Linked DNA regions of Rattus norvegicus. The protein of the gene in region 1 interacts with the protein of each later gene in a pairwise test. Links are inferred from orthologs where the notes say so. Each region holds a gene or a part of one and is shown on either strand. Other genes may lie near its edges.

Region 1 (3,595 bases):
CTACACTGCTCACAGAAACAGTTTACACAGTGGGCCACTCTTAGCAGCTAAGTGTCAAAAGGGTTCATGAATTCCTAAATGCCAGCCAAAGGCCAGCCTTGTCAGCCATCTCGATGGATGAACAGGAACAGGCAGCCCTTCACCTCAGCTTCATCTTCCTCCCTCACCTCCATCCCCTCCCCCACCTCCATCCCCTCCCTCACCTCCATCCCCTCCCCCACCTCCATCCCCTCCCTCACCTCCATCCCCTCCCTCACCTCCATCCCCTCCCTCACCTCCATCCCCTCCCCCACCTCCATCCCCTCCCTCACTTCCCTCCAATTCTATTGCTAGTCTCTTCCCTTTACCAGCTATTATGGCTTGACTTTGGGATGTCCTCCCAGGCTCGTGGCTTGAGAGCGTGTTCCAGGTGACAGTGATATGTTAGATGGTTGTAGAACCTTTAGGTCTATGACCTAATCAGCAGAAATTGATGACTGGAGGCAGGTCTTGAAGGCAATATTTGCTTTGGGTTCTGGCCTGAGTTCTCTGCTCTCTGCTCTGACAAGATGTCAGGAAGCCATACAGCACCCCGTACCCCTGCCACTGGACTGAGATGTCTGAGCTCCCATGATTTCCTGTCATGGTGCATCCTCAGAAACTGGAGCCAAAGTATCACCCACACATATACCCTAAGTTGCTTCTCATGGGCATTCTATCACAAGGAAATGATACTAGCGTCCTTAGGAGTACTGACATTAAAGGCAGATAGTGTCAGCGAGACTGGTTTGTGTTATACGTGTACATGTTCTTTTACTCCTTTCACTGGACTCTGGATTTGTCAACCCAGATCTTAAAAGATAAAAAAGATGCGAAGATCCGGGAGCTTGAAGCCAGAGTGAGTGACCTGGAACTGGAGAAGGTGAAGCTGGTGAATGCAGGCTCCGAGCGTCTCCGAGCAGTGAAGGACATCAGACAGGAGAGAGATCAGTTGTTAAATGAGGTGAAGACTAGTAGGACTGAACTGAACAACCTCTCAGGTATGGCACCTCAGTTCACTCTGTCCTAAATACTGTGAGGTCCCACATGGCTGCCCACACACTTACAAAAGAAGAGTATCTGGTCTCACACCACAAATACAGATGCCACACTGCTCCAGTCATGTGATCTGCACTGCACTTCTCACAGTTGTCTGAGGGGCTTGCATCTTGATGCCTGCTAACCATTACCTGTGTTCAGTCCTCAGTTCCAAAGAGTAGAGGTCTCCTGAGGAGTCGTCTTTACAGCTTTACGGTTAGGGAAATGGGAACCTTGCAGCCTTCTAAAGGTTTAATAAACTGACACATATAAATAGAATTATGCAAAACCACTGAGAGGAGAAATCCATGTGACGAGGACTTGAACAGAGGCAGTGGCAGCAAGAATGGGAGAAGAGCAAAGTCTTGAGACTCCTTTGGGCAGTGTGGTAGTGCACACCTCTAAACCCAGCAATGGAGAGGCAGAGGCAGTGGGCCTCTGAGTTCAAGACCAGCCTTTCCTACACAGTGAGTTCCAGAAGGGCCAGAGTTATATAGTGAGGCCCTTTCTCAAAACAACAACAACAACCACAACCACAAACCACACACACTTACCCCCAACACACACACACACACACACACACACACACACACACACAAAGAATAATTGGGAAGGTTGCAGCAGTAGAATTAGTGACTGGCACATATGTGCTGGGTTTTTTAAGCTTGGGATTAGGAAACAATAACAGCAATAACTAAAAAGGGACCTTCTAGAGAAGAGGCGGCTTGAGAGCAAAGGGTAAGACACGAGGCAGCGCGAGGACATGTGCAGCTGGACCTGTGTCTGTAACTCTATCGTAGCCAAGGGTGATGCATGACAAGGACAGCCAGGAGTCTTTGGCTGTGAATTGAGCTTGAGACCAGCCTGACTGCGTGAGACTTTGGCTTCCCCTCAAATATCTCTATCCTATTCTTATGTAAATAGCACGTACAGCAGATGAGGGACAGTACATAAACCTCTGAACCCTCCACTCACACACGCACTGCACTGGGGCACCCCATCCTCACCACTTCTGTTCTACTCTGCCTGGTGCCCTCTTCCACCTCCCTCCCGACTTGGCGTCTGTCCTCTCACTATTACTTCTATAGCCACTGATTCCACTCAGTGTTGTGTAAGTACGCATGCGCAGCCTGCAACAGCCCTGCAGAGCCAAACAGAAAAGGAAGTCTTCCCCAGTGGCCATCAACTACCAGACGGTTCCTCAGCTATGAGTGGGCTCTTGGGAGGCTCTCCCTTCATTAATGCTGGAATGTTGACTGTGTCCCAGGTGTTTCCATAGTTACTGAGGTAGATAGATAGATAGATAGATAGGTAGATAGATAGATAGATAGATAGATAGATAGATAGATAGAGGTATAACTTGGTAGTAAAATACTTGCCTGCATAGCCAAGGTCTTGGTTTCAATATATAGTACATTAGGATGGCAAATTGACTTGGAAGTCAATTTAAAAAAACAGATTTTGAAAAGACATGTGAAACCTTTTAGTTATTTACAGTAGTCGTGAAGATGGGGGTCATCCAAGAAGAAGGCATAAGATAAAAAGACATAAATCCAGGCATGGTCAATTATGGCCTTAATCCTAACACTTAGGAGGCGAGGCATGTGCTTCTCTGTGGTTTTCAAGCCAGCCTAGGCTGGAACTACAAAGAAACTCCAAGTCCAGCCAGGGCTACATCATTAGTGAGACCCTGTCTCAAAATCAGTCAGTCAATCAATAAATAAAAGACTGAAAAAAAAAAACCCCAAGAAGATGGACAGTTGTGAGCTAATTACGAAGACTGGGAGAGAGAAGCCCTAGAATAAGGTGGGCGAGAGGGAGGCGGGTGAAAAGTGAGTACAGCAGATCCCGGCGCTGTGTGTACAGCTCATGTCGGTAGTGAGTGAGGTTGTCTCAGCCTCTAAGGTGCCACCATCACTAAGTACAGACATTGTCGCTGTGTTATACAGAGGACTATGAAGTCCTAAAGAGGAACTTCCGAAACAAAAGTGAAGAGATGGAGAGCACTACAAACAGGCTGAAGATGCAGCTCAAGTCGGCGCAGTCAGAACTGGAGCAAACAAGGAACACGCTCAAGACCATGGAAGGATCCGATGGCCACGGTACGCCCTGCTTCAGTCCCTTGGTTTTTAAACCCATGGCCTAGATGGTTTCACAGTCCTGAATGTACTGCCTAGAACCTCCTCACAGTGCAGGTGACCTGAGAAATACATGCCCAAGCGTGCGTGCTGGGTGGCACGAATGAGCGTTTCTATGGTTTAAGGGAGATTGAGAAGGGCTTGAGCCCTTACCTCATCTGAAGACATCACTTTTTCTTTCTATGGCTATCTTAGTAATTTCTAACAAATCCCACTGTTTCCCCTTACTTTTCAAGATAGAAATACAAGCCACTGATTATTTTCATTAACCCTCATATTTTTTACAGGTACAGTGTCTATATAACCTGTAACTAAATGGCTGATTGGCAACTCTTGACTTTTCTGTGATAAAAGTGAGATGAGATTTGGTAATAGGACCTCTAGACAAGGTGTCTTTATCT
Region 2 (4,342 bases), on another chromosome or scaffold:
ACACTGCAACAAATACCACATATGGGATTCATTCATTGGTTTGGTCCTTGGCAAAGCCCAGGGCCAACAGGGGCTTACATTGCTGCAGTATGTCTCTAAGGGCCTCCTAAAGTCAGGAACTGGGAATCTAAGCTCAGTCTGACACCAAATGGGTCGCAGCAGCCTCTGCTTGCATGTAGTGTCCTTTGAGGGCAACCAGGAAGTGCCTGCATTCCAGAGCCAGGGTCTGCTAGAGACCAGGCCGTGTGTGTGCGCGCGCGCGCCTCTGTATGTCTCTGTGTGTGTGTGTCTGTCTGTGTGTGTCTGTGTGTGAGACTGGGTGGTGCCTGGCCAGCCACAACACACACTCTGCCTTAGCCAAGCCAGAGCAAGACCTGGCTCCTGTGGTCTTCGGGGGAGGTGTGGGGACAGCAGCAAGCCTGGGCCTCGCCCCAGGCACAGATGGTTCTCATTGCTCGCCCCTGCTCTTTCCTAGGAAAACAAACCAGCTCCGGCTGAAGCCCAGTTTTATCTTGTGTTTGTTTTTGTTGCCATTCTCTTTGCCTGAAGCCACTGTACTGTGGGCTGCGTCTGCAGGGTCTGTCTGGGGTGACCTTGGCATGGTGTCCATCTTTAGGCCAGGGGCCAGGGTGCAGGAAAACTGCCAAGGGCATTGCCAATCTCTGCACCCTGACTCGTCCCTGTCCCACTGAAGGTAACAGCTACTTCCTCAAGAACATTTGGACAGGGCTGGAGAGGACAGGAGGGACCTAGGTGAGTCCCAGTTGGGCTGGCTGTCCAGATGGTGCCCTGTGGGTGCTGGGAGTTGGCTGGGGCGAAGTCTCCTAGGCTACTCAAGTATGGGTGAAGAAAAATCGCTCCGGGGTTCAGATCCTCAGGATCCTGGGAGCACTCAGAGGAGGGCAGACAGGTGAATGAGCACCGCCAGTCTCCCACAGGGGCCCCTGGTGTTCTTCCAGTATATTTTCCAAACGCTTGCATTTCACAGGTAGTGACAACATGAAGACTGGTGGTGAAAGCCCTAGCAAGGTAGAGACTTGCCCAGGGCCGGACAGCATCCTCCCACACTTACTCCATCCAGGAAGACCTGGATTCTCTTTAGCCCCGGGTGCATCTGCATGGCCTGTACCCTACAAGAGGTGACAGGAAAGGAACAGGATGTGTGTGTGACAGCAAAGTCGTGTGTGTGTGTGTGTGTGTGTGTGTGTATGTGTGTGTAAGAAAAGGAGGACAGCACCTCGGCACTAAACTCCAGGGGCTTAGCAGGTCTTCCCCCAAATAAAAGGAAGCACAGTATTGTCCAGACTAGAGCAGGGCTCTCCTTGCACTGGACCTCAAAGGCAGAGCCCCGCCCACCCCGCTGTAGGCGGGACCGCCGCAGTGGTGGCCGGTGGGCGCTTGCCCCTCCCCAACCTCCCTCCGCCTGGCGGCGGTGACATCACAGCTCTGGCGGGAGGGGCGGCGGCACCCCAGCACATCACTTCCTCGGCGTCTCGCGCGGACGCGCGGACAGGCGGACGGACGCGCGGACAGGCGGGCAGATCGGCAGTCGGACGGCCGCAGCGCGGGGCGGTGCTCCTGCTCGGCGCGTCCCCGACTCATGGCGAGCCCGGCCCCGCCCGCGGCCGAGGAGCTCCCGGGCCCAGCCGCCAGGCGCCTCTACTCCAGGTAGTTCGAGGACCGGGATGGGGACGGGGACCTAAACGGCGGACGCGGGCGGGAGGCTGCCGGCCCAGAACAAAGGCTGCAGCGGCGACGCGCAACGTGGCCGGGGACGCGCCTCCCTGGATCTGCGTAGGGAGCGGTGGGGGCGCGGGGCCCTAAGATCGGCCCCGCGGCAGAGGGGCTGGGGCTGGGTTCTGCCTGCAACCGTGTCCGGGTGCCAGAAGGGCTTACGGGGCGGGCACTCCACCACTCGGCTCTGCGGGACTCTGAGTAGCATGGATGTCAGTCTTCGTTATTTGGAGTTCTCTTCTCTAGCCCGATACTGCTACGATCCGGTGCTGGTGTAGCATGGCCATGACCCAAGCTGTCATGATGGGGCCCTGCCTTCACTAGCTATCCCCAGCCCTAGGCTAGAAGGAGCTGGGCCTGAGCCAGGCAGGTGGGTGTGTGCCTCCCTACAAAGGCATCTGCCTTCCAGGCAGGTTCACAGGTGATCCAGCGGTCTGCGTTGTGTGCCCACGCCCACTGGGAATGACGGGATAGCCCTGTCCCTGGCTCCATGCCTCCCTGGTGACTCCTGCCTGATGAGGGTGTTCCCCAGTGTGATGCTGGTCGCAGAAGTGGACCAGTGCTGTCAGTTCACTCTGGCCTCAGGCTGAGCTGGAAGGGCCTGAGTGCTGGGTAGTTGTCATCAGCCCCAAAGGAAGGCCCAGCGCTTCTGACTCCCACCTCTTCTAACCTTCCCCAATCTACCCCAGGTGAGGTGGTTCATCGGCTAGCCAAGCACTGCCTAGTACCCCCCAAAGAGCAAAATGAGGGCTTGGTGCCTGATGAACAGAGCCCTTGCCCTCCTGTTCTACTCTACTGTAGCGCAGAGACAGTGTTCCCATTGTGTGATGTTGAAGATCACGCCTGGCCTCACACTGTCTCCCAGTTCTGGTGCCGGGGTCAGAGGTTTGCTAGCAGCTTCTTCCTGGAGTCCCCTGAGAACAAAGGCTGTGTGGGGTCGAATTTACCTCAGGACCAGTCACTTGTGAGAAGGAGGTGTCTACTAGGCAGATTGCAGCGTGTGTGGTGTGTGTGTGTGTGTGTGTGTGTGTGTGTGTGTGAGAGAGAGAGAGAGAGAGAGAGAGAGAGAGAGAGAGAGAGAGAGAGAGAGAGGTGGACATTCAGAACACCGGTCTCCAAGCTCTGTCAGTTGCTCCAAGTTCCCCCTTGAGGTGACTCACTAGGCAGAGTGCTGGCCCCTGTGTAGCCCTCACTGGTTAGGAACTGTATTCAGGATGCTGGTTGAGGCCCTGTGCTCAGCCTGGCATCCCTCCAAGCTGAAACCCAAGCTGAGCTCAGAGGGTTGAGCTAGGACCAGATTTAAGTTGAGCAGCCAAGAGGCTTCCCACAGGGCCTTCCAGGAGGCCCATGAGCTATTTGGCCTCCACCTATTGGGTCCCAGCCAGGTCCCGGACAGCCAGTTCCCTGGCTTCGTTAGGCTTGGCAGATGTGAAGTACCTGAAGCATTTTGACGCAGGTATTAGGGTTCAGAGATGAAAAGTCTGCACCGTCAAGCCCAGCAACCTGTGGCCACTGGGACTGAAGAAGAAATCCAAGCATGTGCTGTCCCCTTGTGAACCTGTGTGTGCATGGAAGCTTGCCTGCTGCCATGGGAGAATTGTGGCGGCCTAGGTGTGTGGGGGGCCAAGCGGAACTGCATCCATTTGATCTAAGAATGCCTGTGGTGTTTCTGGGCTGACACGGGATGTCTTGGCGGGAGCCGTTCTCTGCGTCACCCATCGTCCGCGAGCATTCCCATTCCTCCTGGCGTCTGACTGAGAGGGTTTGATATGTATCAAATGGGTCTGGGAAGCTGAGAAGAGCCACAGATTTGTCCCTGAACTACCAGCTCCTCATAGAGTGCAGAGAGGGGCTGGCTCAGGAAGGCAGGAACACTGGGAGGGATGGGGTAGAGTGGAGAGGGTCTCTATGGGGAATCCCCGGTCCACTGGCACCGGGGCCAGAACAGGGGCTTGGGGACAAGTAGCTGGGAAGTCCTTACAATGTCCTCTTCTGGCCCTCCCAGCCCCACGAGGAAGAGGCTAAGTCCTGAGTGAAGCTGGGAAGGGAGGGTTAGCAGGAAACCCATCTGGAGTGGCCTTACAAAAGGTGCACCTCAGGTCGGGGCTACTGGTGCCCAGGCATGGCAAGGCCTCTGCAGCCACATGACCAAACAATGCTGGTCCCCTACCTAACTATCTCTTTCTGTGTCCTCTCCTCAGCACTGTCCCAGACAGGACCAGTTCCCCAGGTATCCCTGCAAACTTGACCTTATTTAGGCTCTGAAGCTGTTATCCTCTCCTTTCCAGCAGCTTCTACTGCCTACCCTCCCTCTACCCCTCCCCCACTCTTTCTGTGTGTGTCCCCCTTCCCCTGCCTGCTGAGGGAATGTCGGTATAACTTCTTCCTATGAGATGCTGGACAGTAGGGGGCTGGAACAGCTGTGAGCAAGGGTCTCTCAAGCCTTTGGCCAGAGGCCAGTGCCAGGTGACTGCTCTGCAGAGAAGGAGGCAGGCAGAGATTCAGGGTGCTAGACATGGAGTGCTAAGGAGCCAGCTCGTGTGGGTCCCAGAGGACACCAAGAGTCGTAAGGGAACACACAGTGAGATCAGGAGGCTATGAGCAGAAT

Evidence for each region. The genes of interacting proteins can lie anywhere in the genome.
Region 2: the proteins of Ccdc158 (region 1) and Gpsm1 interact in a two-hybrid assay, tested with the Homo sapiens proteins (2 studies listed by BioGRID and IntAct). The link is inferred for Rattus norvegicus from reciprocal best matches to the Homo sapiens genes CCDC158 and GPSM1.

The regions. Positions count from the first base shown.
Region 1 is NC_086032.1:15,722,872-15,726,466, forward strand, and holds part of Ccdc158 (coiled-coil domain-containing protein 158), read left to right. Parts: intron 1-347; exon of another isoform or gene 348-829; coding exon 830-1,019; intron 1,020-3,005; coding exon 3,006-3,158; intron 3,159-3,595.
Region 2 is NC_086021.1:29,537,471-29,541,812, forward strand, and holds the start of Gpsm1 (G-protein-signaling modulator 1), read left to right. Parts: upstream 1-1,482; 5' UTR 1,483-1,600; coding exon 1,601-1,668; intron 1,669-4,342. UniProt on the Homo sapiens protein: Guanine nucleotide dissociation inhibitor (GDI) which functions as a receptor-independent activator of heterotrimeric G-protein signaling.